Linked DNA regions of Lepisosteus oculatus. The main gene of each other region encodes a partner of the protein of the gene in region 2 in a complex. Links are inferred from orthologs where the notes say so. Each region holds a gene or a part of one and is shown on either strand. Other genes may lie near its edges.

The links.
Region 1: ppil2 (region 2) and armc7 share a complex: the UniProt entries of both Homo sapiens proteins name them as parts of the minor spliceosome. The link is inferred for Lepisosteus oculatus from reciprocal best matches to the Homo sapiens genes PPIL2 and ARMC7.
Region 3: ppil2 (region 2) and snrpd1 share a complex: the UniProt entries of both Homo sapiens proteins name them as parts of the minor spliceosome. The link is inferred for Lepisosteus oculatus from reciprocal best matches to the Homo sapiens genes PPIL2 and SNRPD1.
Region 4: ppil2 (region 2) and srrm1 share a complex: the UniProt entries of both Homo sapiens proteins name them as parts of the minor spliceosome. The link is inferred for Lepisosteus oculatus from reciprocal best matches to the Homo sapiens genes PPIL2 and SRRM1.

What each region holds. Positions count from the first base shown.
Region 1 is NC_090704.1:32,755,914-32,764,115, forward strand, and holds the start of armc7 (armadillo repeat-containing protein 7), read left to right. Parts: upstream 1-4,927; 5' UTR 4,928-5,013; coding exon 5,014-5,015; intron 5,016-5,533; coding exon 5,534-5,631; intron 5,632-5,920; coding exon 5,921-6,064; intron 6,065-7,011; coding exon 7,012-7,349; 3' UTR 7,350-8,202. UniProt on the Homo sapiens protein: As a component of the minor spliceosome, involved in the splicing of U12-type introns in pre-mRNAs.
Region 2 is NC_090717.1:1,804,093-1,811,375, forward strand, and holds the start of ppil2 (RING-type E3 ubiquitin-protein ligase PPIL2), read left to right. Parts: upstream 1-4,096; 5' UTR 4,097-4,312; coding exon 4,313-4,344; intron 4,345-4,714; coding exon 4,715-4,764; intron 4,765-6,791; coding exon 6,792-6,837; intron 6,838-6,917; coding exon 6,918-6,980; intron 6,981-7,283. Other genes in the region: bri3bp (BRI3-binding protein), read right to left, coding at 1-73, 1,223-1,402. UniProt on the Homo sapiens protein: Has a ubiquitin-protein ligase activity acting as an E3 ubiquitin protein ligase or as an ubiquitin-ubiquitin ligase promoting elongation of ubiquitin chains on substrates.
Region 3 is NC_090705.1:41,557,551-41,565,480, forward strand, and holds snrpd1 (small nuclear ribonucleoprotein Sm D1), read left to right. Parts: upstream 1-4,908; 5' UTR 4,909-5,031; coding exon 5,032-5,045; intron 5,046-5,526; coding exon 5,527-5,603; intron 5,604-6,257; coding exon 6,258-6,449; intron 6,450-7,425; coding exon 7,426-7,502; 3' UTR 7,503-7,646; downstream 7,647-7,930. Other genes in the region: sacm1lb (phosphatidylinositol-3-phosphatase SAC1-B), read left to right, coding at 145-281. UniProt on the Homo sapiens protein: Plays a role in pre-mRNA splicing as a core component of the spliceosomal U1, U2, U4 and U5 small nuclear ribonucleoproteins (snRNPs), the building blocks of the spliceosome.
Region 4 is NC_090706.1:4,187,046-4,194,522, reverse strand, and holds the start of srrm1 (serine/arginine repetitive matrix protein 1), read left to right. Parts: upstream 1-4,091; 5' UTR 4,092-4,139; coding exon 4,140-4,160; intron 4,161-5,507; coding exon 5,508-5,597; intron 5,598-5,850; coding exon 5,851-5,973; intron 5,974-6,272; exon of another isoform or gene 6,273-6,400; intron 6,401-7,270; exon of another isoform or gene 7,271-7,477. Other genes in the region: ncmap (noncompact myelin-associated protein), read left to right, coding at 130-394. UniProt on the Homo sapiens protein: Part of pre- and post-splicing multiprotein mRNP complexes. As a component of the minor spliceosome, involved in the splicing of U12-type introns in pre-mRNAs. Involved in numerous pre-mRNA processing events.

The DNA.
Region 1 (8,202 bases), on a different chromosome or scaffold from region 2:
GTGAAAAAAGAAAACACTTGAAGCTTTTCATAGATGTTGTTCCTGACCTTGAGGCTTTCATTTTACATTAGTGCACTACTCAACCTTGTAATGGCGTATTACAAGGAAAAATATTTTCTTATCTTTGAACTCTTAGGAGTCAGTTTAGTGATATACTCCTTCCTATACATCATTCTCGTCACAAAAGTATCTGGGAATTCACAGAAAATCTTCACTTGCCAGGTTTGCACAAAATATTGTTGAGAGATTGAGCAACTCCACAGGAATTGAGGAGCTGGCTGCCAGGTTGTCTGTACAGCAGTGAGAAGCTCAGCCTTTCCTACAGACAGGACATCCCCTGAGCTCATCGAGAAGCCTGTCTCTTCTCTGCCAGCTCTCCCATTTGCTTCTGCCGACGCTCCAGAACCTCTGCCAGCTTTTCATCGTATTTGGCCTGTTCTCTGGCACGAATCTCTTCCACTTCAGGGAAAAACTTGTGTCTGAAAATATAGTTAGTATTGTCTTTTAAATTATTATTTTGATGATGATGTTTTGCATTTCTGCAAACATAATGAACCTCCAGTAGCAATATAAAGACCCAGCCATAGCTAAAAAAAAACGCTACAGTGCTACTTGAAAGTTTGTGAACCTCCGAGTGGTTCATTTTGACTATAAAATTTTTGTTTAATCAAAACTAGTCCTCCCTAAAACAAAGGTTTATGTCCACAAATTCAATGTATTGTTCAGAGGAATTTATGCATGCAATAGAAAAAGAAATAGGAAAAGAAGATTTAGGGCATGTGCTAAAGTAAGTGAACCGCAGGTTTCATTAGCTCAGTCAACATGGTAAGTATAACCAGGTGCTAAAATAATTGGGTACCAAGTTAAGCAATCAAAGAACCAATCACCTGAGCAAAGTCAGTTTGGTGCTGTTCATACAGAGTAATGTAATGCACCATCCCACAATCTAAAGAGACCCCAGACAAGCTCAGATGAACTCAGGAAGAGTGTTGTCTGCTCACCAGTCTAGAGAGGGTTATAAAACCATTGCAAAAGGTTTTGGAATTCATCAGTTTACTGGAAGACAAATAGTCTATAAATGGAGAAAATTTAAGGCCACGGTAACTCTACCTAGACGTGGATGTCCTTCCAAATTATCCCACAGAGCAACAAGAAAACTCATCCTGGATGTCCAAAAGAACCCTAGGACCACATCCAAGCATCTCCAGGCTTCTCTTTCTGCAGTTGATGTCCATGTTTATACCTCAACAATATGACACAAGCTGAATAGCAATGGTAGCCAGAAGAAAACCTTTGCTCTAAGAAAGGAACATTGCTGCACATCTTAAGTTTGCAAAAGACCATCTGGATGATCCTTTAGGTTTCTGGAAGAATGTTCCTCAAAGCAGATGTGAAGGACTTTACTAACTTTAGGAGCTATGACTGCAACCAAACAATTCCTAAAGGGTGTACCACTGCTAGCTGAATTAACTTTCACTTACTTTTGCACACAGGAATCTTTGAGCTTCTATTAAATAAACATGCTTTATTTAATAAATAATGAATATATGTATGCATGTCCATTATTTGGGTTATATTAAATAAAAATTGGAGTGCAGATAATTTTCTTAAGAGTATAGAGAGAGATTATATACTTGATGCTGCTACTATAACACTGCTACTTTAGTTACGTTTCCTGGTCCACCATTTTTCACACTTTAATACATATATACAGCTCCCCCTAAAAGTAATGGGACAGTAAAATCATAACTGTTGTTTTTGTCTTACAGTCAAGCAGTTTGAATCTATGATCATCAGATTAATATGAAATTTCATGCATATATCTGACTTTAACTTTAACAAAACCATACTTTGTGTTCAACCCAGTAATTTCAAGGTATCAAATGTATTCTAATACATTCACGTTAAGTAAATTTCAGAGTATAAATGTTAAGTTGCATTTCCCAAAATACATATCTCAAACCTAGTGAGTTCTCCAAATTCCATTTAAACATTTGAGATTCCTTTTCTAGATGAATTGAGGTGTTCCTGTTGAAAGCCTTCAGCTTCAATAATAATAATAGCTTACAGTTGTATAGCACTTTTCTGGACACTCCACTCATTACCATCACAGGTAATAGGGTCTCCCCTCCACCACTGTGAAGCCCCACATGGATGATGCGACGACAGCCATAGTGCACCAGAACGCTCACCACACATCAGCTATCAGTGGGGAGGAGAGCAGAGTAATGAAGCCAATTCATAGGTGGGGATTATTAGGAGGTAAGGTAAGGAGAAACGCCCTGGGATTTTTAATGACCACTCATTAAACCGAGAGTCCTCGGTTTTACGTCTCATCCAATGGACGGCGCCTGTTTACAGTATCGTGTCCCCGTCACTATAATGGGGCATTAGGACCCACATAGACCGCAGGGTCTGCCCTGTCTCTCTCACACCTGAAGAAGGCTCCACAGCCGAAACGTTGTGTTCTCTTTCTTCTTTTTTTCAGCATGGAATAAACCTATTACTTGTTCCTTTGCAGCCTACGCATGCTGACGCAGCTACCCACCTGAACTACTACCGCCTACAGCTGCTGCGACCCACTATGCCTTCCTCCAAATCTTTTTCTAGATCTCTTCGTCATACCTTCTCTTCCTCCCTGGGCCACTTGCCCGCTTCTCTCAGCTGATAACAACCCGGTTATTGATGTCATTAACAACATTAATCCCAAACAGAGCTGTTGGACTCCCTCCTCTGGCCGTTTTCCACCAGTTGATTATTTCATTAACCAATGCACTAATCAAGCTCCCAAGACACTCTCTATACCCAGTAAACATAGGTCTAACCTCACCCAAGGAGAAAATCAGGCGCTCCAGTCTCTCCGCAACAGGGATGATATCGTCATCAAACCAGCGGACAAAGGAGGTGCTGTTGTGGTGTGGCGTAAGGATCTATATATCTTTGAAGCCTCTAGACAACTAACTGACACTTCTGCCTACCTCCCTCTCCAACAGGACCCTACCACTGACTACCAAAAGGAAGTGGTATCCACCATTTCCCTTCTTATCAGCAGTAACGAGCTCCCCCAGGAGGCGAACCGGCTCATCATGGAACATCCACAGGTATCTCAATTTTACCTCCTCCCCAAAATCCACAAACCGGACACCCCTGGACGCCCCATCGTATCAGCATGTAACTGTCCAACTACTTACATCTCAGCCTTTCTCGACAGCCTCATGAGACCGCTGGTTGAAGATCTTCCCTCATACATCAAAGACACCAACCACGCGCTCCAACTTTTCAATGATTTCCAATTTCAGGGTACCGAATGCCACATTTTTACCATGGACATCACATCTCTGTACACCGTCATTCCCCATAATGACGGCCTTACAGCACTCAAGCACACGCTGGACAAACGCACAGTGCTTGATCCACCCACCCACACCCTGGTACGCCTTGCAGAATTGGTCCTCACACTGAACGCATTCTCTTTCAATAATCTTTTTTACCAACACACTCAAGCACACGCTGGACAAACGCACAGTGCTTGATCCACCCACCCACACCCTGGTACGCCTTGCAGAATTGGTCCTCACACTGAACGCATTCTCTTTCAATAATCTTTTTTACCAACAGGTCATGCCATAGACATGATTATGATTATGCCATAGACAGGGCATAGACCCTGCTGGCCCCACTAACACCTCTTCCAGCAGCAACCTTAGTTTTTCCCAGGAGGTCTCCCATCCAGGTACTGACCAGGCTCACACCTGCTTAGCTTCAGCAGGTTGTCAGTTGTGAGTTGCAGTGTGATATGGCTGCTGACATGAGAGGCTTTCTGATATAAAGGTCAATCAGCTGCTAGAAGCTCGGTGATCCGAGGGTCTCATCCTGCCATTTCGTGGAACAAGCCAGGTTATGAGCTTTAGCTAAATGAGCTGGTAGTCTGCGCGAGAGTCCCACAACCAGTACTTGAACTAGAACCAAGAACTCTGCCAAGGTCAATAAACCATACAAATGATCAAATCCATGAGTTCAGTGAGCACATTCCCAGGTCAAAAGTAAGGCAAAAATAAAACACCAGACTATTTCGGTCAACAAAGATCAATGATTTGTTACTTCTGCAAGAGCGATGACTTCGTTCTAGCACTCATAGGAATCCAAGGTTATGACTTTCTACAAAAGGATAATAAGCTTCCCGGAACATCCCAAATGGTATATATAAATACCTTGAGTATTTTGCAAAGCTCTTTAATTTGCTATTCATCACAATAAATGAACAATGTTGCATAAAGTAAAAAGCGTTTATGAAAATATATCTGTTCGTCCACACTAATACACACCTGTTAACAAAGGCGATGGACAACCCAATGAGGATCGTCCCAAACAAGACCGGCTTGGCAAACCGCTTGCCGGCAGACAATTTGATCTGTTTCATGTCTCTGCTATACGAAGAAATACCTAGGCAAAAACAAAAATGAGTGCCACTTTCTACCTTAAAAAAACAGAGCAACTAGCTTCACGCTTCTAAAAAACAAAACGCAACTGCGCTCTCCTCCTATAAGCTCCGGCATAGAACACATGACTCAGAGAAACAAAGTTCCGTCCACCAGAGTACAGCCCGAGTTTTCCGTTTATACACATCTGCAGCTATATACGGTTTGTATATGCAATCGCATCATTGTGCAGTTTACACCCGCTACAAAGACATTTTGAATTTTATAACTTGTCCTCTCCTCCCATTAATAAGAGATATTTAATTACAGTTTTCACTGGTTTATTTTGTCATTAGATCTTGTAGTTTTGTGGAACTGGAATCTAAAAGCCAATGCGTTTCTGTCGATCGGGGGAGAACGACTAGGACAGGAACGGAAGTAAATACAAAATATAAAAATTAAGGTGTGTGTGGAAGGGGAAGGCAAAGGTGGATGAAAAATGGGTCGTCGATAGGTAAATAAAATAGTTTAGTGTAATAAATGTATATTTTTTTATAATGCAACAAAATATCTAACAGACTAGCGTAGCTTTTAAATGTAAGTAATTTGTTTTTTTTACTTTTCAGTTTGGGCATTATTTGTGGTATAAACACTTTTGCTGCTAATCCGACACCAATATGGAAAAGCTTTCGGTTGATCGTAAATTTATAATAAAATATGGATCCAACAGTGTTCAAATTCTAACGTTTGAAAAAAAAATATGACACTTAAAATCTGTGCAAAGAATTCCGTACCTCCCTCCTTCCCTGTATGTGAAATTGATTTAAATGTGTATCCTGTATTCATTCTTGAGCGTAAAGAAGTAATTTGTTTGAAATACAGCAGTATCTTTCATGATTTTTAAATACTTCAGTACAACTCCATGTAATCTCTTTGGTTCAAGTAATATATTTTAAATTGAGTTTAAATTATTTTGCATGCTCTGCTTTGGTGTCTTTCTAGTGTGGCAAAACGCTGCTTTTCACAGTATAGGACACACTGCCTTAATTTAAAGATCAAGATAGTTCTGAGGATTATGCTGTCTATGCTGAAAATGTTTTTTTTTTTTGCTTTAGGAGTGTGATGTTCCCCAAGAAAGGTGACTCCCAGGGACTGGACAGATTTGAGTATCTGCAGGCTCTGGTCACAGAGTTCCAGGATACTGACAGCATTGGTATGAACTTCTGTTTCTTTTAAAATATGTTATTAATTTTTCTGCACCTTATAGGCACTGACCAGCAGGCGGTGTTTGTAGCTCTTTTATTAAGCATTGTCAATGAAACAAAATCATGTGGAAACCATGTTTTCGTAGGATTTCAAGTAACGTAGTAGATTAAAATATGGGTTACAGCGTTTGAGATGCACCGCAATGGTTACAAAAATGTTGTCCACATGGAAATATGTGTTGGTTGAATTATTGTCTATTCAAAATCTGTGAACGTTTATTTCATTTTCACGTTTAGAAGCCAAGACACAAGTATTGGCAAACTTGGCCAACTTCTCCTATGACCCCAGCAACTATGAGGCCCTTCGCAAGCTTCAGGTGATCGACCTGTTTTTGGACATGCTCACAGAGGACAACGAGAGCCTGGTGGAGTTCGGAATAGGTAAGGAAGACTTTGAGAAGAAGATAGAAATGAAGAAGAAGAATGATGATGAAAAAAGAAAGACAGTTCTAGAAATCAGAATCAATAATATGTCTTCGTATAACTTAGTATAACTGCAAACAATTATTAGATTATTACATTAGGGCATTTTCTGCAAGAGATTTCTAAATGGCCAGTGGAGAAATGTGTATATATATGATAATGGGTACACATGTGCAGGTGATACAGAAACTTCTGTTATAGAAAAAGGTGTGGTTCAGAAGGTTGTGCAGGTAAGGTGCTTGGTGGTCTTATTGTTGAAAATCATGTTGTATAATATGTTGATTTTTTTAAATTAAGAAAGAAATTCTACAAACCTATTTAAAGAGTGTGTATATATATATCCACAAATAAACTCCATATTTCATAGTTTTTTTGTTTGCCTAAGTTTAGTGTAAAAATCCTCAACTAACAGTAACACCAACAAAAAGACCTTGCACTCCTCACACTGATAACATGCAAAAGGTTTTTTAGAAAAGATGTAAACCCAAAATACCTTTATTATATAATCCTGACCTAGTTTTGTCACCTCGACTTTGACATTTTGAAACAGTTAAATCACCTGTAAAGTAGGAAAGGCTGTTGCTGTTTCTCTCCTAAATATAGCAGCTCGTCGGCAAAACACCCAACCATGAATGGATATTTACTACAGTTAGTACTGTTCGGGTACTTCAGGGGCATCTTTGCAGGTGAAAAACTGACTAACTTTCCAGTGTTCCAGACAGAATGCAGGCTGTTTATTAGGGGTGATTACATATATGGCCCTGCATGCCATAGGTTCGCCATTGCAGCACTATAGGTTGGCACTCCTTGAAGCCTAAACAATGTAATAGAGAAACTGAACAAAATGCATCACAATTAACCTGATGCTTTAGTACATTTATTTAGCAATTTCCATGTTTTCACAGGGGGTCTGTGTAACCTGAGCCTGGACAAAACCAACAAGGAATACATCCTGCAGAACGATGGTGTGAAGCTGGTGATTGGGTGCCTGTCCAGCCCCAATGAGGAGACAGTGCTGTCTGCCATCACCACTCTGATGTACCTGATGACTCCTGCCTCCCGCGAGGAGATCACCGATATCCCCGTGGTGGAGTGCATGCTGCGCTTCTCCCTGTCTACAAACCGGAGATTAAGCAATCTGGCTTCCGTCTTCCTGCAGGACTACTGCACTGCGGAGAAGGTGCAGAGAGCCCAGAGCCTCCAGGGACACTCTGCTGTGGGCATCCCACTGCCTCAGGATTAGATCTGCTCTGCTCCTAGTGATGCCACTGTCTTCTGGTTTTTGTTCTAGCCCAACTCTAATTGAACTAATAATTTGCATATTTGGATATACCATCTAAACTCCTTACAGTTCATTCCTCTCCTAACTGTCTCCCTGCCCTCTTCATCTGACTGCTGCTGCCCCTGAAGAATGTCTGTCAAGCCAGGTGTGTCCAATTTACTCCAGTTAAGGAAAAGAAACTAAGCCTCACCTTGTTCCATCACATTGTAGAAGGTCTTGCACACGAGGAGATGAGGAGAAGTGGAGAGGATTATAAAGAAAAGAGACTGAAGATAAGTGGGAGTACAATGGTTGAGGTACGGTAGCAGTGTGAGATTTGGTGCTTCAAATTGGACACAATGCAGCAGAGAGCCAGCAGAGGGTTGGGACCAGTGAAGCAACGTGAGAAAAGCAAAGAAGAGCAAGCGCACAGAGCAGCCCCAGCATTCTGGATGAGTGGGAATTGGTAGATACATTTAGCAGGGACTCTGGCCAAGAACTACTAAAATAGTGTGATGAACACAGGATCACTGTAAATCTGTCAATAGCACTTTTCTCTATAACACTTCACACTGATGTGTTCAGTGCACAGTGTAATGTCCAGTAGAGTGCAGCATTGTCATTGTTTTCCTTCATATCTGCAACCTCCAGTTAGAATATGCCTGTATTGATAGAACTGTTTCCATACTGTTTAAATGGGTTTCTAAGTGTCCTATACCATGTTTAAGGAAACCTTTTTCTTTTAAGTGCTGTGTATGTTTTAAATGTTATATTTGTTTATATGCACTGTTAATTAATAGGCATTTCCTGATTGGTTTTGGGCCATCTAGGGGGG
Region 2 (7,283 bases):
TCCATATCTTCCATATTGTGTCCAGGAACGCGTCCACACCATAGACGAAGCGCTCTGTTGTCTTCGAAAAGAACTGAAGGACAAATGAGAGGTTAACAACATGAAAGAGGACAACGCGTCTCTCACGCAGCCCATTTTGGTTAATCGATCCGAGGATGTCATCCAGCTATTTCTTGCAATGCGGTCTTCAACGACATAACTGGGCAGCTTGCTCCAGTCCCCCGCCACCCTCTGTGTAAAGACATCACCTGTTCTTAATTTTAAACGAGCTTCAACTCAGTTGATCAGGTTTGTGTCCTGTGGTTGGCTGAGATGAGACAGTCAATGCTCACTGACTACCAGGTCAATTGGCTAATGTAGTCAGTGAACCCCACACCTGGCCCCTCACAGACATTATCACCTCCTGAGGGTTCGATCTAGCAGGTGAAGCAAGATTTAATTAGGTCAATTAGCTTGGCTTCTCGTTAACATCTATCAGCTCTCTACTCATACAGGACCCTGGTCTGATACCGTTTTGTAAGTCATTTGGCACGGCAAGATGTATATTATTATTGTTGTTGTTAAATAAAAACAATAATATTAGTTTTATGAACACTGCAGTGAAGCTCGATTTTGTCCCCAATGCTTCCCAGTCTCGTGATGGTTTCAAGATGTAAAGTATTTCAGTTGTTTCCGATTTGTACAGGGCCGCCAGCGAGACATCACGCGAGAGACAGTTCCGCCTTTGACCGATTCAGACGAGACAAAATCGTTCAACCCCCCGAAGTTTTCCGTGAATCTTAATTACTCCCAATGACATCACAGCTTCAATCCAGTAGGGAATTTCCCCGTTCCTCGTAGGCGCTTTAGCGTATGCCTGAGAACGGCACTCAGAGAACTGTATTTTGGAACTTCAGATGCGGTATATTGGCATTTCCAGGTCAGCTGCCAACGCTGTGAAATCGGAAAACAATCAATACAGTCCTCAGCCCTGCAACGTCGGGGACGTTAAAAAAAGGAAGCAATAATAAAGTGCATTAAAAAAAAAGATTTCACATTGTTGGGTACATCCATGCACGCATTTCACGGGCCAGCCCGACTCATTCAATCAATACTGGCGAATCAATGATCAAAATGGCAACCGATGCCCGTCGGTCTCCGCCGCGCGATCCTGACCCCTCGTATCACAGTATCTCGCGCAACGGTGCGTCGATCGAGAACCGGGGGGGACACGCGCACTGACCTTATGCAAGGCTCTGATGTTGTCCTCTCCGAAGATGCTACTCAGGGTCTGGTAAAGACCATTCGCCGCCCTTCTAAAACTGTTCTGGCTGCTGGAATCCTTCCGGCTCCGAGCCGCTTCTACACACTGCAGGGATGCGAGGAGAACGGCGATTATGGCAATCAACCTAATTACCTTCATGACTTATGACTATCAATAGTATGCACGTATTTTTTTTTTCTTTCTGTAGAGGTAAAATAATTAGCTGTACGTTAAAAAAAAAAAAGACACCACAGCAGCAATCCCGGAAGAACGTGTTTCCGACGAAATGGTTACAATGTATTCAGAACTTCCGCCTTCCTGCAGAGATGTGAACTCTGACACCTGGCGTTGAGAATAGGAATAGCACTCCCTTTCCGCTTCATAAAAATCTGGTTTTAATGTTTGTAAATCTAAATGTTTCGGTTGAGTGTTTACAATAATAATAATAATAATAATAATAATAATAATAATAATAATAATTGCTTACACTTATATAGCGCTTTTCTGGACACTCCACTCAAAGCGCTTTACAGGTAATGGGGACACCCCTCCACCACAACCAATGTGCAGCACCCACAATGATCTGGTCAACGTGAATGTCAATGTACCGAATTGTTTTTTAAGAAACCGCTAATATTTTTTAAACGGCAAATTACGACGGGCTTATTGTGTCGGGTTTCTGTTTTAACTTCGGTTAATGGCGCAGTTGTGTGACATTTATAACTGATTCTGCACAACTTCGTGGATCTGCCAGCCTGGGGAACCTGTCTGTACGTACTGAGTGTTCTCATCCTGTCTGTGGACTGTCTGTGTGGAGTCTGTGTGTTCTCACCCTGTCTGTGGACTGTCTGTGTGGGGTCTGTGTGTTCTCACTCTGTCTGTGGACTGTCTGTGTGGAGTCTGTGTGTTCTCACCCTGTCTGTGGACTGTCTGTGTGGGGTCTGTGTGTTCTCACCCTGTCTGTGGACTGTCTGTGTGGAGTCTGTGTGTTCTCACTCTGTCTGTGGACTGTCTGTGTGGAGTCTGTGCGTTCTCACCCTGTCTGTGGACTGTCTGTGTGGGGTCTGTGTGTTCTCACCCTGTCTGTGGACTGTCTGTGTGGAGTCTGTGTGTTCTCACCCTGTCTGTGGACTGTCTGTGTGGAGTCTGTGCGTTCTCACCCTGTCTGTGGACTGTCTGTGTGGGGTCTGTGTGTTCTCACCCTGTCTGTGGACTGTCTGTGTGGGGTCTGTGTGTTCTCACCCTGTCTGTGGACTGTCTGTGTGGGGTCTGTGTGTTCTCACCCTGTCTGTGGACTGTCTGTGTGGAGTCTGTGCGTTCTCACCCTGTCTGTGGACTGTCTGTGTGGGGTCTGTGTGTTCTCACCCTGTCTGTGTGGGGTCTGTGCATTCTCACCCTGTCTGTGGACTGTCTGTATGGAGTCTGTGTGTTCTCACCCTGTCTGTGGACTGTCTGTGTGGGGTCTGTGTGTTCTCACCCTGTCTGTGGACTGTCTGTATGGAGTCTGTGTGTTCTCACCCTGTCTGTGGACTGTCTGTATGGAGTCTGTGTGTTCTCACCCTGTCTGTGGGACTGCGGTGAAATAGATTTTGGAGAGACGTTGTATGTGTCTGTTGCATGTTGTGTTGGCTGGGGCTGTATGCCTTTTAGAAACATTTCAAAATTAGATACAAAGGAGGGGCTCCTCTCTAGATATAATAATGACTGCAAGACTCTCATCTGTGGCCTTTCTAATGTTCTGACACAATTGCCTAAAATAGTCCATTCTTGTCAGTTCTGTAACAAATGATTGTGATACACTTGTTTTTTAGCCTCCTTTTGTATTAAAGCCCTTGTCAGAATCTGCCCTTATAACAGTGTGGACTTTGTACGAACTGTTTCTTTGTCTAGTGTTTCGGATGAGACATAAAACCGAGGTCCTGACTCTCTGTGGTCATTAAAAATCCCAGGGCGTTTCTAGAAAAGAGTAGGGGTGTAACCCCGGAGTCCTGGCCTAGTTTTCCATTTGGCCCTTACCAATCATGGCCTCCTAATAACCCCCATCTCTGAACTGGCTCCATCACTCTGCTCTCCTCCCCACTGAGAGCTGGTGTGTGGGGAGCGGACTGGCGCACCATCCAGGTGGGGCTGCACACTGGTGGTGGTGGAGAGGATCCACATTATGGAATTATTATTATTATTATTATTATTATTATTATTATTATTATTATTATTAGAGGCCTTGGAAAAAGTGGAAAGTCAGCGCACTACCTCTGGAAACGTCTAGTCTTCCTGACACCGAGTTAAACTGCCCCCAGCGCTACACTCTCCCACACGGAGTGAGAACAGCGTTATATAACCATCACGTCAGCTCGAATCATGTGGCTGGAGTATCTTTCGTGTTCACTGGTATAACGCGATTTTAACGCAAACGAACAATATATTTTTAAATTAAATTAGTTTAAATAATTAAATAAACCTTTTGTAGTGTAAATACTTTAATCCAAGTCAAATGCACAGTAAGACTCTCTGGTTGTATTATTACATTACTCAGTGATTGTCATCTTAAAGCTTACATACTCAGTACAGAAAAGATCTGGCATTTGAAAGCTAGGCCTAACTTAAAAGCAAATGTCGTTCTTTGCTGCGTTCCTTTCACGCCTATTTCAACAAAAAGGGTTACCAAAGAAAATGGTTTCTGTCGGTGATGGTTTTACAATACATCCAAAAGTCGACTTTTTTTAACAATGCATCGATAACCACAGATATTTTGTAATTTTAAATGAATTCTGCCGGTAAACTGTACTGGAATTATATCGCCTACTAGTGGTATGTCCTTAAATTACTACGGCTGTGATTAAGGATAAGGCGGAACCACTTCTGCTGGGCTTCGTGTTGCGTGTCGGAAGGGTGTTGATGTCGTATTGGTGTGTTTTCGGAAGTCGGGAGCGTTTGTGTGTCTTTTTTTTTCAAAAACCGTATAGACAAGTGTTCCAGTGTTTGTACAGGTTCTAGTATCGGTCGAAGTGATTAGATAACTTACCCGCAAGTGGTTTTTCTCCTGGATTTGCGTGTTACACCGCCGCCGTCATGGGGAAAAGACAGCATCAGAAAGATAAAATGTAAGTTCACCTGCGTCCTAATTACAACCACTATGCATCTGATCTCCGTTAAATGCTGGTGTTTAAGGTTTTGTTTCAGTATTGGTTCCATAAGCCTGTTAAGATAAATTTTAATATGGTCGCCGAGGCTGCCTAAAATCAGGGATTTATATTATTGTTAGGATTAATGCAAATTAATACAATGATACGTTGGTCAATAGTATATTGTGGAGACAAAGTGAAAAACAATATCGTCTTCCATGTTATCGTATAGCATTCGTTACTATTTTAAATTATTGTAACCTGTGTCGTTTTTCATATACCCTCAAGTCTGAAACTGCCGTTGAAATCACAATGAAAATGGTATGTGATTATTTTCGTCTGTATTCAGGTACATCACCTGCTCCGAATACACACATTTCTACGGAGGCAAAAGAGCAGGTACCGGTGAATGTTTCGTCTGTCTTTACGTCTTTACTGTCCTGCAGCGGAATTTCATGTGTGAGGGGAAGCAAAAGCATCAGTATCTGTATTACTTCTTCCCTGGCAAGGCGGTCACTCGCTTTGTCTAGCTTCTTTCTGAGTTTTGCAGTATTTTATGCCGTCTTTGTGTCATTCGCAGCTGTCTGTACTGTGCAGCTAAGCAAACTTAACCCTGTTTTAAATGTGTGGATGATTATGCTGTTCGCCCAGACTTACTCTCATCGTTTTTTACGTGCAGGTTTTAAGCTATAAGCTCTCAGTAAACTTCTTCTATGTCGTGCATACAATATCTGCCATCTCAACATCCTAGAGCTAACTTGAAATCCAAGTTCAGCTCCTAAAAATCACATATCGCAATAAAAATCTAAAATCCGATTGCAAAGCCACATGGAAAAACAAAGCAAACAGTAGAAGATGTAACTGTCATATAAGTCTAAAAAATGTGACTGGATTTAAAAAGACTGGGCATGAACAGGGGACATATAAAACTGCAATCAACTGGATGAAGGTCCTGTGTGATGGACACTTAAAAGCAGTCAAACCTTTTGCAGTCATACTATGGAGCCCTGAATGGAAGCAGACATCATGATCAACTCAAAATTGTACAGGAAGCCAGTGCAGGGACTCCAGAACAGGGGTGATGTTTGCAAGTGACCTAGAGGTACCTGTTAGAAAGAAGTAAGAATAATCAGTCCCTGGAAAAACCACTTTAATGGACCTTTTTTCTGTAACAAAAGCAGATAACATACAGCATGTACACAACAGCCAGGCAATGTTTCAAAGGTAGAAAAATAATATACATCCAGTTTAAAAGTTAGAGCAGGTTAGACTGTAACCCCACATTCTTTTGGGTTAAATCTCAGGCAAATTGCCATCAACTGACAGGTTTACAGCACTGACCTTAGTCTTTTCACAGTTGTGATCCTCCCAATTTCAGATTTCATTGGAGAACGCTGAAAACATTATTCCATTTATCCAGTTTTCAAAGCTGACAGCTTCACACGACAGCTCAGCGAGTCACTTTTAACTTTATTTGCCCTGAAGCGAAGTGCAGGGAAACGGGAGTGAAATAAGACAAGCAGAACGGTAAACTGGGATCATACACGAACCTCGGTTTCCAAGGCAGTCAGGAGTGAGCTGTGCAGAATGTGAAGGAGTAAATTCTGTCACTCAAAGAGGCTGTGCTATAGAGGCCTGAAACTCCAAAAACCCACTTAGCCAACTCTCATAACCAGATTAAGAAGTGGGAAATTAAACTTAAGTCTAAAACTGTACTAGAACCAGGGGAGGGAAGCAGTCAAACACACTGTGTTCTAAAATACAGTACATGGTACAGTTACTTAAAGGGGAACTGCAGTCCCGATTTCTCAGACCAGTTATTAAATCTTGGTAACAAAACCAATTCATTTGCTGGTATGGAGAAATTTGGCAAATTTTGACTTCAGCACAAAATCATGTGAACTTTGAAAGTACTGTAAGTTGCCATGTTGTTGCCAAACCCTGGTCTCGCCACGGGTGAGAGTGAGAGTTCCCATGAATAGCAACGCAATTGCAGCCCTTCCTGCTCACTAGTCCCTGTAATGACTTATCTGTGCAGCAGGTATTTCACTGCAGAAATGTTCCAGCATGACCTGCAGGCAGAGTTAACAATTTAGCCGTTTTGTTGGGAAAACTCTCTGGAAGTCGAGAGCAATATTTCCATTGGATGACAAGAGATGTATTCACAAGCCTGCTTACTTTACAGTGTAACAGGGCCACTACATGTCACCAGAAGTTGTGTTGCCTCTATCTGAATCGCAGAACACGGAGCTACAGAGCTGGAAATTTAGTCTGTTTTGTAATGTAAATTGGAGGTTTTACACGTAACTGGGTACATTTTATTTTTTATTGAGGTTTGAAACTCATCAATGCTGGTTCTTTCTCACCCTAAAATATAAAAATAGAAATGCAGTTCTTTTAACCTTTTTCCCCCCTTTTCTTTCTAGAAATTCCACAGGCGAATTTCAGGCGCCTGCCCTTTGATCACTGCAGGTGAGGCAAAGTTTCTCTATTCTCCAATGTTCTCCAATTCTCCAGTGGAATTCTCCCAACCACCGGTTTCTGTTTTCCAGTTTGTCCCTGCAGCCATTCGAGTATCCCATGTGCACTCCTGAAGGACACGTCTTTGACCTGCTGTGAGTATTTCTCCTGCTCCCACAGCCTTTAATAACTGGCTAGAGCTGTTTTTTGTATGAAAGCTTCTGTTTCACAGCTGCTTGTAATGTAAACATCCATTAATCTCATCCACTTGTTTTTTAAAAGGTGTCTGGGATCCTGCTTCAGTTATGAGGCTGCACAGCCTTAGATGGGTACCTACACCCCAAAAGTCACAGCTACCCCTCGCAAGACACTGGCTCTGCCATAGGGGTGATATGTGCTCCAGGCTTGACATTTGATTCATGTGCAGAATATTGTAAAAACATCATTCTTCCATCTAA
Region 3 (7,930 bases), on a different chromosome or scaffold from region 2:
GTACATTATTAGTCTGAGCTGTCTCAGCTAACCTTCAGAGCACTTCGGTGTGCGGATTCTGATCAGCAAGGGCAGCTGAGACATTGCAGTTCTGTCGTGCGTGATCTTCTCACCTGCTGCGCTCTTTCGCCTGTGTGCTTGCAGGTGACACCTGGACGGAGACCCTGGCTTATGTGCTGTTCTGGGGCACAGCCAGCTTCGGGACCGCAGCCATCATTCTCTTCAACGGCAAGGAGTTCGTCGATGCCCCGAAGCTCGTCCAGAAGGAGAAGATGGACTGAATGTGTGCGTGTGGAAAGCAGATCGGTTACCGCGATTCCTCCCTGCAGGCCTGGAGTTTGTACTGACCTGCTCTCCACACCATGGCAGGAGGCTATCCTCATAAGCGTTGGGTTTTTTTTCTTTCGTTTTATTTTTACCATCAAGAAACAGTTTCTGTCTTTGGGTGTTTTAGGGGGTGTGGGGATCTAAAAGAAGCGTCATACATCCGGAAAACAAAACCCCTCCTCAGTGTCTGACACCGTCCGAGATTTAAATAACCGCTCCGTTTTGCTGTTCACCCACGTGCAGCATCTTCTACAGGTGATGTTCAGATTCCAGCAGATTGTACCGCAGCACTTATTCTCCTCTTGCAATTCCCACACTTCTTACACAGAGCAGAATTTGCAGTCTTGGTTGGCTTTTGCGCCAAACAAGGTGTATAACAGGGCCATAGTCAATTCCAGGTTTTTTTTCCAGATTCACTCTTTCAGATTCAAATCAATTCCCAATTCCAATTTCTTTTTCACAATCCCTGAACAGGAACTGGGAATGGACCTTAACCCAGATCTACAAAGAAGTGTTAGCATCGAGAACACTATATTCCATCCTTTAATGGGATCTTTATATGGTCTCAGCATTCAGTATATGCATTGTCGCTGGTTTAACACCCTTTTTAATTAACATACTGACGGAAGACATTTGTAGTGTCCCGGTAGAAATTACATGAATACTTTGATAAAGTGCAGTTTTCCTTGTCTGTATGTAATTACTTTGTTTTAACTAAATTAATTACTTTGAAGAGGATATACCAAAAAGCCTTATTGACAAAAAATAATTGCATGATTGTCCAAAATAATAAAGGAAAGGAAACCAGAATGAAATCAAGGTGAAAGAAGGAATACATTTTCCCTTTTCACCATCTTATACCTTATAATCTTCCAGTAAAACAGTCCTTTTACATTTGAGCTCCTGTGTGGGGGAAAATCCCAAACTCCTGAGAGTTGTGAGGTTTCACAGGTGTCTCTGAACATTGCCTGAACATTTTTGTTCTTTGCACAGTCACTTTGTAGGAGATTATTTTTGTAAGTTCTTTAACAAGAAGTAAAGTTCCTAGGAGTAACACAAAATACAGAAGAATAACATTTGCTGCTAGAACCTTTGAGACAATAATCATCATACCTCAAAACTGGGTATGAATTTAAGTTGTAGAAAATTAACATTGCCAGATTTAAGATCATATAAAGTTCCCATCGGACCAAATCATTTTAACCATGTAAAGTGCCACATTAGTGTGGCTGGTCTGTCTGCTTTTGCAAATGTTCTGTTTGATTGCTGGACTTAACACCACTGGGTTGGGTTTTGACTGGTTGCATTGTCATTGTGTTTTGTCTTGTTGTATTGTGCTCTCAGCTCTGCAGTTAATCAGATTTCAGCTTGAATGTCTGCCTTACAAGCTGTTGAACAATGGGGAAAGTGTTGATAGACCTATGGTATATATTAATAATGTAAATTATAATGTTTCTTTCTGATAAGTGGGCTTCAGGATGGTCTTAACAAATCAGAGAATGTATAATTGGTTAACATGCCTTGTATGTGTTTTTCCACTTTTAATTTAGTGGTCCAAACCATAAAATATTAACAGTGTTAACACATTCATTATACTGTATGTACTTTTTTCCCCAGGTCAGCTTTTTCTTAATAGTACCTTAGCAATTTAAATAGGAAATCACAGACTTGAGATATCAAGTTGTTTTAACCTTTGGTGCAAATAACCTACAACTTACTTTTACTCTTTTTTGCATGGAAATTCTTCATTTTTAAAAAAAAGCATTTTAACATGATGCAGATACTTTCAATAGAAAAACAAAAGAGTTGTGGGGATTTGTGTTTTAGGTGGACAGAGGTACAGATCCACCCGTAGGTTAAAAGAATACCAGCCTGCTCCCCCTCAAGTTTGTTTTCAGTGCGATCTTTGTCTACATATACAAATGACTTTCAGATCTTTTTTTTTTTATTGTGTAAAATATTTCCTTGTAATTATGTATTGGACAGTTTCCTTGCACTTCATACACAGTACACATCTCTGTATACAAAGCTATATTTGAAAATGACTTGCTCCAGTGTGGTTGAGGTAGACTTAATTTAGAGAAAGAAAACAATATTAAAACTCATGTTGTATTGCAATGACTGCTACAAAACATGTCAATTCATCTGGATCAAATGCTTTACTGCCCTTAAAGGGAACATTGCTGTTTATACTGTAGAATATGACTCCTGAGTTGTTGTACAGCTCTTTGTGCAGATGTAGTGGATATTGGTAAAATCATTTCTGATCATTCTTTTATGTCCTTTTAGTGGATGATATGCTCACCATTCTGTATATTTACCTTGGTAATAATGTGAGAGATGGATTAGGGATATTATATTTCACTTTGTCTCATTAGATTTAGTTGATTTCTAAATATTGACACTTGGTTAGTGTTTTACAGGGAGGGCTGTCTTTAACTTTGCAATAAAGTCATTAATAGATCAACATCTGTTTCATTTCCTATTTCAGTCATTGCTGTTTTATTAGTGCTTTTCCTGTAATGAACTTGAGAAACCATTCCATTATTCAGATGTAAGACAAAAACATTTTCATATAAATGAAGAATAAGGATTTCATTTCAATAATGACAAACCTGGTATATTATTAGCGTTCATATTTTACAAACCCCTGTTCTTCCTCTTGCGGTTACATGTCATGGACAGAGTTATATAGTTATAAAATACAGTAGAAGTCAGGGATGAAAATGGGAGTAGTCTTTTAAAGGTAATTTTTGATTAAACTAAGTGCAAAGGTCACCTATCTTTAATGAAATAATGGTTTAATTGTAACTTCAACACTGCAAGTTAAAATTAAAATGTTTTGTACATCCAAACCTATTTGGGAAGATGTTCTAGTTTCAATCCACAAGTCTGAGCAGTCGGTACATGTACAGTGCACCGATATTGAGACTAGCTTTACAGACTAGAGCCTCTATCTATAGCTTTGCATTTGTAGTTCAGTGTTGTTCTGCACATGCCCAGTTTGGAGACGGTGCACAGTTGTATCGCTGACGGACTGTATGCTTTCTGCCTTGTTTTAAAGAAATGGAACTGCCACAGCTTTAATTCCATTGTCATAGAATGAATGCATGATCATTGCAGGAACTTTCGTCCAAAGTGAATAAATTCTCAAATTATGTCAGGTTAACATGGTTATGGCAAGAGATTTGCATGGATGTGCCCAGGTTACTTGATGTGCAGGAAATTCATCTGTTTGTTTGGAATTTACAGTTGTATCTTGTATCTAAATTTAAGTAGAAACTTTTAATGACGGCTATAACCCTGGCCATATCACCATGCATGTGACACGATTTAATCCAAATGCTACATCATTGACTATACATTGTATATTTATTGCATGCTTGCTGCTTTTTCTTTCTTGACAGATCAAGTACCATGCTTTTCACACATCTATATGCCTGTCTGCTTTGATCTAATATCTTTTGAGAGTGGATAAGATAATATAATGACCATTACCTAATTACTGAAGTATTTTATTACCATTTGCTTTGGCTGAGTACAAAAGAGTCAAGATAGCTCTAGCCATCATGATAGAATGGATCCTATTATGTCTGCTGTGCATAAATACTAAGAAGCCAGTTCTCTTCCTAATGTATTCAAGGTAAGGGGTAGAGAAAAAATATTTCCAGTGTGTTCAAAATTGTAATGATTTTTAAAAATGTTTTGTTGTGGCTGTCTGCAATACCAAAATATCGTTTTCTCACTTCTGTCATTCCATGTTTTAAGTGGTATGTTTTATTTGACAGAATTAATAAATTCTCATGAAAAACAGACATTTGTAGTCATTTACTTCTGATTTGTCTTCTGTGTGTGCCCAAAACCTGGCTTCTTTTTGTTTTGTAAGCGATTCAGCCGTGACAAGCTCGTTATAAGGAATCATCACATCTAAAACAAATAGAGCAAGTTTAATGTGGTCGTTTCAAAACTGCACAGGAAAAAAAGTCCCAATTTCTCATTATAGTCCTTAATAACTGCAGAGAATAATAACTGCATGGTTGTGCCATTTCGCCCCATCTTGATGGAACAGACGTTAAGCTGCAACAGAAAATAAATGTATTCTACATGGTAAAACTGATAAACATTTGACAACTGATATATGGCAATAAGGTATTTTTAAAGTTTCCAGTCACAGAGGAAGGGTTAGGCAAATATTTATGCTTTTATAGCTGCTGGCGTGGAAGCACATCACCTGAAAGTTATGGGCGCTGTTACCCCTTGGCACCGTGTTTCAACCAGCATAGACGAGTAATAAGACCTACGAGCGTAAAAACGGCTCTTCCACATTTCGAGAGGAAACGCATCTCGAAAACACTAGTGCACTGTGCTTTATTTTCGATAACACGTTTCCACCCACAGCAACGAAACGAATCTCCCAGCTTCGTCCTCGGCAGACACCCTGCAAGAGGGCGCCGTCTTCTTGTTCCTCCACTGAGTAATGAAACACACGGTGGCGCTGTGCTGAGCCTCCCATCCCCATCCCACGCCCGAGGCCCCTCTTTGCGTCTTTCAGCGCCTTCGGTGCGTTTCCGGGTCACCGCTGCCTTTCACTTCCGAGTCAGTTTCCGATTTAATGCCGGAACGGCCCAGCGTCGCTGTATCGTTTCGTGTATAATTTTTTGTCTTACTCCGGTGGGGGATTTCTTCTCGCCATCAGCCGCCAGCATGAAACTCGTGCGGTAAGACGTTTCGGGGTGTTTCGATCTTGGGGCCAGCGTCGCTAAAGGGTGTAAAAGCGCAGGGATTGCCGAGGATGGAGTCAGATTGTGGGTTGTTTTCAGCTCCAGAAAGCGCCGTTCGCGTCGGGGAGACGCGGGAGGCGGGAAGGGGTGAAATGAATGGCCGATTCAAACGGCTTCCAGGGGGTGGGAGGGAGAAACGCCGTTTCGCGTCGGCTGCTGCAATCCGAAATCCGCGCCTGTTGTCGGTTGTGTTGAAGCGGCGGGTCAGTCGAGTCCCAGCGCGGCTCTTTAATTTCTCCGCACAAAGCACCGTAGACGTGCTGGAGAGGAGCGCCGGCCCGCCGGAGACGTGTTTTCATCCGGTCGGTGCGACTCGGTTTTCCTGGTTAGCCTCCCGGTGCGGGACGGTGCTCGTCCCTCTTGCTACCTGACGGGTGTTTTATGCACTGACTTTCCCCTCTCCCTCCCACCTTTGCAGATTTTTGATGAAGTTGAGCCATGAAACCGTCACCATAGAGCTCAAGAACGGAACTCAGGTCCACGGCACCATCACTGGTAGGTGGATCGGCTCTTGTTGCGGTGTTTGTTCTCGAGAAGCCCACTGGGTCGGTTTCCCTCAGTAACGCTGTGGGTTTGGAGAGCTGGACCATCCGGTCCTTTGTCTCGTTTCGAGACGGGAACGGGCTGTCTCTCGCAGCACGCCTGGATGGAGGGTCCTTCCGAGCCCGGGAAAAGATCTGATCGATCTTCCGCCGGGCAGAGGCTCCATGCCCCAGTGATCCTTAAAATCCACGAAGCTTATCCCTCGCCAGAACAGCTTCCCTTCTCACGAATGTGTTGAGCATGAGCATGTACTAACTGGCTTTGCTGGGTGATACTCGGGCATCTCTCTGTTTAAGGATAGTCGATCCCTGAGAAAAACTGTTTACTTGCCTGCTGCAATAACCTGCAGTCAGGGATCACCCGGTGCAGGGGATAAAAGTATTTGCCATCTTTTGGGGGTGCTTCCTGTTCAGACCTCAATGCGTGTCCTGTGTGCTGGGGATCAATTTAAAAGTCAATCCGACAGCGAATTCATACCAGATTTACTTTAACCTTCAGCCAGTCATAGGAGAGAAAGGTGGGCTAATTGGTCAGAAAACCAAGTGTTCTTTGTGCGACCATGAGTAGGATAGCTCACCCCCTTTCCCGTGTTCGTGTGCTGCGCAGGGGTGGATGTGTGCATGAACACTCACCTGAAAGCTGTGAAAATGACGTTGAAGAACAGGGAGCCTGTCCAGCTGGAGACGCTGAGCATCCGTGGAAACAACATCCGCTACTTCATCCTGCCGGACAGCCTGCCTCTCGACACCCTGTTGGTCGACATCGAGCCGAAGGTCAAGTCCAAAAAGAGGGAAGCAGGTAGGAGTTCTGAGAAGATGCTTTTCCTCAGCAGTCAGATATATCTTCGGAGTAGAAGTGCGTTTCTTCACGCAGTTTTAAATAAGAACTTAAGCATATTCCCAAAAGAGAGGAGGTCAGGATCTCTTCTTGAGGTTTCTCGAGAGAAGCCGGGGTATCGGCTTGATCAACATGGTGGCCGGCTTGTTCCACACTCCCGCTACCCTTGGTGTATTTGGGGTAATGAAGTGTCTCCTGTTCCTGGGTTTAAATTGTCCTATGTGTGGTTTCTTGTTGAGGTTGTTTGAAAGGACAGTTGGAGCAGCGGTTCATGTACAAAATCATATTTCAGTTAAGACTCATTGTTTGGTTGAATACATTCAACTTCCTAAGCTCAGAGTGTAAACCAAGAAAATATTGTTGCATGTGCTAGGAACTGCCTTAGACGTTCTTGGTGCCTCTTTATGTAGATGAAAATGAAATCAGTTTGCTAAGACTAAACCATCATAGTAATTCATTGCCTGAAGTTAAGTTTCTGCTTGTTTTTTTTGGGGTGGTTCACTGGGGTGCAAAAAAACTGAGGCATTTCAAAGTATTTCTATGTTTTATATACTGACAAAACCTTAAAGTAAACTAAAGTCATCTTATAGCAGACGTTTCAGGTGTGGTAATATGGGTTTGTACTTGTCGTAGTTTATAACGAGAGTTTACTTCCTGAGCTATTCCCAGGAAGTTGCGTGAAAATAGTTTATATGTGGATGTAATGATTGAGAGTCTCTGTGCCCCTTTTCCTTAACCCTCACGGTATCTTTAAAGAGCGGCTCGGTTTTCTTCCGTGGTATCTGGACGTCTGCACAAACAGTGGACAGGTTCTCCTCGGCGTGTGTAACCCCCTTCGCTGTTTTACTGGTGTGCATCGCTCCTGCTCTTCCGCTCGCGGGCTGGGCTGGGCCGTGAGGCGGCACGGCGGGTGACTGGTGTCTGTCCTCTCTCGCAGTGGCCGGCCGCGGTCGAGGCAGGGGACGGGGCAGAGGCCGAGGAAGAGGGCGAGGCAGAGGAGGACCGAGGAGATAACTTCGCTCACTGCTGCTGCTGCAAGTGCTCTCCCTCTCTCCGGCAGAGGCTGTCTGTACAGTTTTTTTTTTATTTCGCAGGAAAATGTTGTGGATGATCTCCCATTTGTTTTTTTATATCTAATAAAAACCATATTCCTGATAACATGGCGCCCTGTTTAACCTTTAACACTTACAATTAATCTTTCCTTTGGGTGGGATAGATACTGCTCTGTACTGTATGTGTTGATGGAGAGGAGTGTTTGCAGTGTCTTGCTAAGCGAGACGGATCTTCTTGGCATTGAGCTGTGGGACTGGCTTGTATTGTTGGGGGCCTGTTGATGAATCCAGGCTTGGCCCTTGTAAGTTGTCTGTGTGCAAACGCACAGGGAGGGTTTAAACATTATTGGTCAATCTCTAATGCATTTCTTCAGCCCATTTTCTAAGTCC
Region 4 (7,477 bases), on a different chromosome or scaffold from region 2:
CAATTTATCGGTTTTCCAGTTTCTCTGTTACATTAGACAAAAATTAAAAACTGCAGTAGAAGAAAATTTAGTCATTACCTCATAACCCGAACCAGAATTGTCTCCTCTTTTTGTTTTTTCCCACTACAGGAAAACGCGTGTCTCACGGGTACTGGGGACAAGGTCTCGCAAGAAGATGTGGTCCTCAACAGCTCAGACCAACCTGCCCATGGGGAATCTGGGCAGCAACAGCTGTGCTTCAGGAAGCCAGTATCGAAATGAAAATGGCATCACGGAAAACGAATTTAGACTCCCTAGGGTGGAGATGCACCAGAACGTCTTTGTCCTCTATGCCACAGACACCGAGCCTGTTCCGGTGTCTGTGCACAGCTCCTCTTCCTTGGAGAACACATAACATCTCAGCAGCAAAGCTGGTGGAGCCGTGGAACAAGTCTGAAGTCTACTGGAACTGTGCAGTTTACTACGTTCTTAGGATACACACTCATAACTGAGCCAGTACTGAGCTGCTCGGTCCTCGGTCCTGTCCTTGAGAGCACTGCATTGGAAAACTCCCATGCTGTTTGGAAGGACGCAAACCAGACACTTAATAGAAGGCAAACAGGAGTTGAAATCTTTAAACCTGTGAGCAACAGGGCTAAAGTGCTATGATACTCTAGTGTTCACCAGCAGTGTTTCCATGGCTGTGTATCCAAGTGTTGTGCATACTAGTAGTCAATGAGTGTCGGACTCAGAAAGTGGCACCACAGAACTTTTCTAGGTTTTGTGAACTTTATTGTTCTCCTTTCTCTGATCTGTAAAAGCCCTCATTGTTAAAACGGATGTATGTAGACAGTGTGTGCAGTGTCTCGATTGGACCGCAATGCTACTGAGCTAAACAGTTTCCTTTTTGAAACCCAGAAGGCTTCAGCCCTAAGTTAGACCGTGGGTCTCCATCCCTGGTGCAGGGTTTTCTGGGTAACGACTGCAGTATGTCACAAACTTTGAAGAACCTAGAATAAATTAACTGTGATCTATTAAGCAAGACACGTGTTAAAAGTATTAACAAGTTAGCAAAGATTGTTTGGGTCAAAAACCTCCATTCAGCGCTGTTTGGAATCTGGTGTTTTTTTGCCACTCTTAGGTTAAGAAAGAGACCCTAAAATAAGTTTAGGATTCTGTTGTATCTCTTAGGCTTTGAAAAAAGGTTGGACACACAGGAGTGATTTGTTTCAGAATTATCTGCCTTAACGGAACAAATTACTTGCTTATTTCATCTATAACTTATAATTACCATATTAACATTCCAACAGTCCATCAGAAAACTGCTTATTCTTGTTCAGGGTCACAGCAAACTGGAGTCAATTCTGGAGTCACAGGGCCCAGGGTGGGACAACACCATGAACAGGCCTTCCCAATCCTTAGAAACAGGCGATTTAGGATTAGGGTTAGGTTAATAACCTGTAATTTACACTGTATTGGGGCACTCTGGAGGAAGGTTTAAGTCCTTTCATTCAGATGATGTTTAATCTGAGCCTTTTCAACAAAATCAAGGATTTTATCTCCTTTTTCTCCCCCCCCTGGCTGAAGCATTCTTTCCTGGTTGATGTTTTGTTCATTTTTTGTAATTGAAATGACCTTGATTTCCATGTAATAAAGCAAATCATGTCCTCTCTACTGTTTCTCAGGCCTGCGTTAGGCAGGTGACAATAGCCTGTAATAAAGTGCTTTAGAGGAAGTTCTGCATCTATATAGACCTTTATGTAGGATTTACGTTTTCAGTTTTTGTAATGAAATGGGAAACGTTTCAACCTGCTTTCCTGGTGAAAGTCTGGTGATCCTGATATTGTAAAAAATGACTTTACTTGCAATGCTTGCCGGTGTTTTGAAGAGGAAGGAAACTCATAGGTACAGTATAAGTAAACCTAAAATGAAAGCACATGGCTATAACTGTAAAAAGAACCTTTATACATCAATACAAGATGTTGCTTGTGATCAACTTGAGCCTGGAGATTTTTCTGACATGGTTATGTATCCAGAACTGCTCTCTGGCATCAAGAAATGTCACTAGACTGAATTATTCAATATTTACTGTATATGTATATATAATTGAAATCAATGTCTATGCAATGATAGTGTTACATGTTCCTATAACAGGCTGGATTTGATGTCGAGCAATTATGCTTGCTTTCTGCTGGTGTTGGAATAATAAGCCACAGTAAGAAGTTTTGTGTCCTAATTTTTAAGAAGAATAAATAAATGGAGCTTTTATTTAAAGTATGGCGTCCTCTCAGAAAACATATTGCTTTTATAATAAAGAAATTGCGTTATATTGTCATAAAAATTACACTTTACATATGTAACTGTCGTCCTAGAAGGCTTGATATCCCCACTTCCTTTGAAGAGAAACCTTGTCTTGCTTTGCATCAGCTTCCAATGCTATATTCCCGACTATATCGGTATTTCCCTTTTTTGTTTTACTGACATTTGAGAGATTTATCATTTGAACTATTAATCCAGACATCATAGCCCATGTATGATTTAGGGTAGATGCTTGACCTTATGTAAATGAAACTCCCAAAATGGCAGCACATGAGTGAGCCCTGCCCAGCTGGGTGGAGCTTGAGTGGCCAGCAGTTTCCCTGGTTGGTGCACAGGAGTAGCCCATGTGACTTACAGGTTGGCCAATGAGCTTTTTAGAGCTGTGACACTCCCCTCAAAGCTGGGTCTGAATGAGAAGTGGACAGCTCAGGATCAGTGCATGTTTCAGGGAGACAGAGATGGCCTCCTCTCCTCCATGCTAGTACAAAGGGTGGCGGAAATGAGCCATATTGACTAACCATCAGAGATTCCCAACAGGTTGGGGTGGAATATTTCAAATCTAACAAAAAATAATTCTAGTTATTGGCTAGATTTATAAGAGCTGAGGACTTCCAGTTAATCCTTTATTATTGGGGAAAACTACAATTGTTCAATGTCCAGGTAGGATCTCTGTACTCCACGGACTACAAAAAACATGGCTTTCCAAAATGAATTCCAAAATTCTTAACTCCTTTCCCCCCACATTTGTCTTTTTCTAGAAACAAAACATCCTGTCATTTAAAATCATGTGCTGTGTCTGGGTGATGTTAGACAAGTTATACCTGCTATAAAGTATGTGACAAAGCTCTGGATGATTATGTAAATACGGAAACCAATGTAGCATTAAAAGATTATTTTCTGTGGGAAGATTGAAGTCTGATTTAAACTCATGGAGGATCTGAGCAGTGAGGACACCTGGGTAAACATCAGGGGTTTCTGACAGCATCTGCTGCACTGGAACTGTATGACTGTGGAACCCAGAGTGTAGGCACAGACATACACAGAGGGAATCACGATTCATACGTCATCCCTCATCATTGGCATCGTCTTGTGAACCTGTTAATAAAAGATCTACCAATTTGCCATTAGTTCTGGAGCTCTGCTGCTACACCGTGACTCACACTGCTGCTCCGAGCTGTGAGGCTCATGGTCTTCAGGGAGTCCTCATCCCACTACAACACGATTTGATTGTTTTGTATATCATGATGCTGGAAAGTAATGCATCATCTTCAGCACATTGACAAGTTTGTAACACACTCAAAGCAGAGTGATTTTGTGTATGGAGCGCAAATAACCTTCACAGACCTGCCTGTTCATACCTGCATTGCTATCAGTCTGTTGAGGGTGAACTCATGGGAATATCGACATTTAGTTTTGTAAAAAAAAAATCACGTTTTGGAACATTTTAGTGATATTTGCAGTGAACCTTCCATCTGTCAAATAATAACTGTAACGGTGGTGTTATGGAGTCGTTTAGGCGTTCAACTTTAAAACAGCTGATGGCCACGTTTCAGAGCAATTGGCGCTCCTTGATAGGTTTGCCCGGGAGTTTTGGACTCTTGAGAGTTTTGTTTGGATTTGCAAACGACGGTGTTAAATGTGTTGAGGCGCCTTGAACCTGCTGTTTAAAAGTTCCGCGGAGAGCCGAGCTCCAGTGCCTGAGGTGTAAACGCATCAATAAAGTTACGCCGCCTGGTGGTTATTTATGGTCCTACACGAAGGGGGGGGGCTTCTTCCTGCATTGCATTGTGGGAGTCGTGGGCATTTTTCTTTCAGAGACACATTGCACATTTCGGCAGAAGATGGACGCGGGTTTTTTCCGCGTAAGTACATGTCTTCTTTTTGGCTAAAAAAAAAATGGAATTTCGAGTTTATTGTTCTCCTTATTGCAGCCTAGGCGTCCCCTCGGCTCGGTTTCCGGAGCCAAAAGCGTGGCTTATCCAGGAGCATTTTTTTTTTCCTTGTGTACTTCATGCGCCATCCCGGAGCAACGACATGCAATGGGAGAATAAAAATGGCGGCTGTATGTGAATTCAACCGGGGATCAAAATCATTCGTTGAAAATGAATTGGAATCTGTATTGTCTCGTGTTGTGTTGGGGGTGCAATTAATAAACGCGCACATCGTTTTTGAGGATGTTCTTTCTGTACTTGTTAATCTTTAAAAAAAAAAAACCTTCAGAGCCCGTGTAAGGCCTGTGTCGACAAGCAGTCAGCCAGGGTGCAGGGCTCGTTTGAATAGACTATGCCCAGATCCTTCAAACGTTGTGTTCGTGTGGCTGCGGAGAAATGTTGAGTTCAGGAGTTGTTGTTTTTTTCTTAATCTTGTGTGCTGGAAAAAAAAAACCCTCAGCGGCCTATAACGGAGAAGACAAAACGCGATCGGGTATTTAAGCGTCTTGACCTGTGCGGCAACGTCTACCGCGTCTTCTGGAGAAAAGACAACTTTCTCTGGCTTCGCCTCGCCGTGCCTGTTCGCTCCTTGGGGACTGAGGTGTTGGGAAGTGACGAGGGAAAGTCACCTTTGAAGTACACGCTCACATGTGGAGGAATATTGCTTGAGAGTCGTGTGATAACCTCGGGTTTTTTTTTAAAAAGCTGCTCTTAACCAAATCTGTCACGCCTCACGATGTGTGCGAAATGCTGACAGACCCAGTGAGTTTGGGGAGCTCAAACTTTTAAAAAAAAATGTAACTGGGCTCGTCCTTCACTAGTCATTGTCTTATACTGTTACCAGCAGCCTGAAGAGCTTTTCAACTTGATGGCCTTATTCAGAGATCCCTCCCGGAGTTTAGCAGATATTCTGGTTTAGTAAATGATATGGCTGCTACGAAGACTTGTAGGTTTCATTGTAACCTTTTGTTGTTAATAATAACAACAACAATTTCTTGCTTTAGGAATTTGTATTTTCACCTACCCCAGCTTGCTCTCCATGAGACACAGACAGGGAGAGAAGCTGGGGGTCATAGTGCAGGGTCAGCCGTTGTACAGCACCCCTGGAGCAGTTGGGGCCTTGCTCAGGGGCCCAGCGGAGTAGGATTTCTCTGCCGGCTGCGGGATTTGAACCGGCAACCTTCCAGCCACAGGCGCAGATCTTATCCTTAGATGAAATTGTTCATGTGAGCCTGTCCTGAAACCTAAAACCAGAGTCTTTCTGTATTTTCTTACCAGGGCACGAGTGCGGAGCAAGACAATCGCTTCAGCAACAAGCAGAAGAAACTTTTGAAACAGCTCAAATTTGCAGAATGTCTCGAGAAGAAGGTATGTGAGCATCTTCTAATTAATTGTTGTTTCAAAATATTCTTAGAGACCCAAAGGATCGTCCTTGGTCACCTGGGGTGTCTACTTGCGATAGGCTTGCAGTTATATATTGTTTTGCGGTTCTGATCAGAAAACAAGATTCAGTTTAGGCTGTGGACACAAGGTGTCCTCCAGTGTTTTTGAGTTTATTTTTGATTTTGTGGTAGGGTGACTGTTTTGTAGATGTGTGGCTAAATGTCAGCTTTCTTTTCAGGTGGATATGACCAAGGTGAACTTGGAAGTCATCAAACCATGGATAACTCAAAGAGTGACAGAGATTTTAGGGTTCGAGGACGATGTCGTCATCGAGTTCATTTTCAACCAGCTGGAGGAAAAGGTAACGCCGTCGAAACAGTTTCTTCTTCCTCAGATTCTTGTTTTGTAAAGCAGTGAACTAGTTCTTATTTTTTTGTGCAAGAGGCGGGTGGGTGGGTGTGAGAACTAGAGAAGAGTATTTTTTCTAGTTGAGAATTCACTTTTTATAATATAAATTTACTGCTCTAGGAGGTTTTGTTCTGACTGCTGAGGTGAAAGGAAATGAAGCTATATGTATTTGAAAGAAATGTTGCTGTTATATGTAACAAAGTGCCTTTGACAGCAGTTTTCTAATGATGATGTGATTTATGATTTAAAAGGCCTGAACCAATATGGATGTTATTCCTTGCGTCTGAAGTATAGCACCATCACCTAATTAGGTCACAGCAGAGTGAGTGTCCAATGTCGCTCTGACCCAACTCCCTTGATGATGCAGTGTGTGTTTGGAGGTGAGTTGTGTAAAGTGACCAAAAATTCCAGTGACGAGCACTTGGACAGATCCTTACACTGCTAAACCACCTACATTTACCTGTGGCTAGATATTTATAGATGGTAGCAGTATACCTTTTTAAAACCTGTATGCAGTATGCCTGAATTGTTTCCGGTTTGCTGTGTTCCAGTTATGATGGCTGATGGCGAAGACAGCCATCCTTTTTTTCCTCCTTCACTGTCGGGCATGGTGCATGGTGTAAAAAGAAATACTGCTATATTTATTGGTGAAAGGAAAAATACTACATTGAAAGTGGCCTGACTGCACTTTTGATGTCAGATTATTTAGACCTGCTGACAAGGTCTTTTAAAAAAAAAAAAAGTAGCAGTGATATTTATGATTCTTCACGTGTATGCAGACAAACTGATAATGTAGACATTGGTGTTCATTTGCCTAAAGTTGATCTAGCTCCTAGACCCTCTATATCTTGAGTTAATATGCCTTTTGTTTGACCTTTTGACTTTTTGTGTGAAAATAGGCACTGCTTTTTTGGTCCATATTGAGGTATGCTTAAGACTTGTTGATTTGCTTGCCAGGCAGAATAGCTTTTTTAAAAAAAAAAGTCAATGCAAACAGTATGTAAAGCCGATTGTTGACATTGGTTCAAAGTGTATTTTTTAAATCAGACGTAGGGTATTTGCCTTTTGTGAATGCTCAATATTACAGAACACTGCCTTGATAGGGTTTGTGCTAAACTCTCTTGTAATTCTCTGTTGCTGAAATTAAAAGCGAAATTTATTTTTATTTTATTTTTTAGAGTGATTTAAAAAAAATTCAATTCTCTTGTGGCTGTGTACTCATTATTGCTTGTTCGTCTTTTGCAATTTAGATAAATGATATAACATTAAGCTCAAGGTGGTTGAGTTGCAGTAGGGAGGCGGAAGCAAGCCAAGGGAACATCTCTCTCTGCAGGAGACTTGGCGAGTCCATTTCCAAGGGTTCCACCTGGGGAGAGAAGACGTCAGGACTGTGTACTTGCTTTGTGGCGTTGATGCGCTTGGCTCTGTGGATCTTGTTGCTTGAACGAGAATGACTT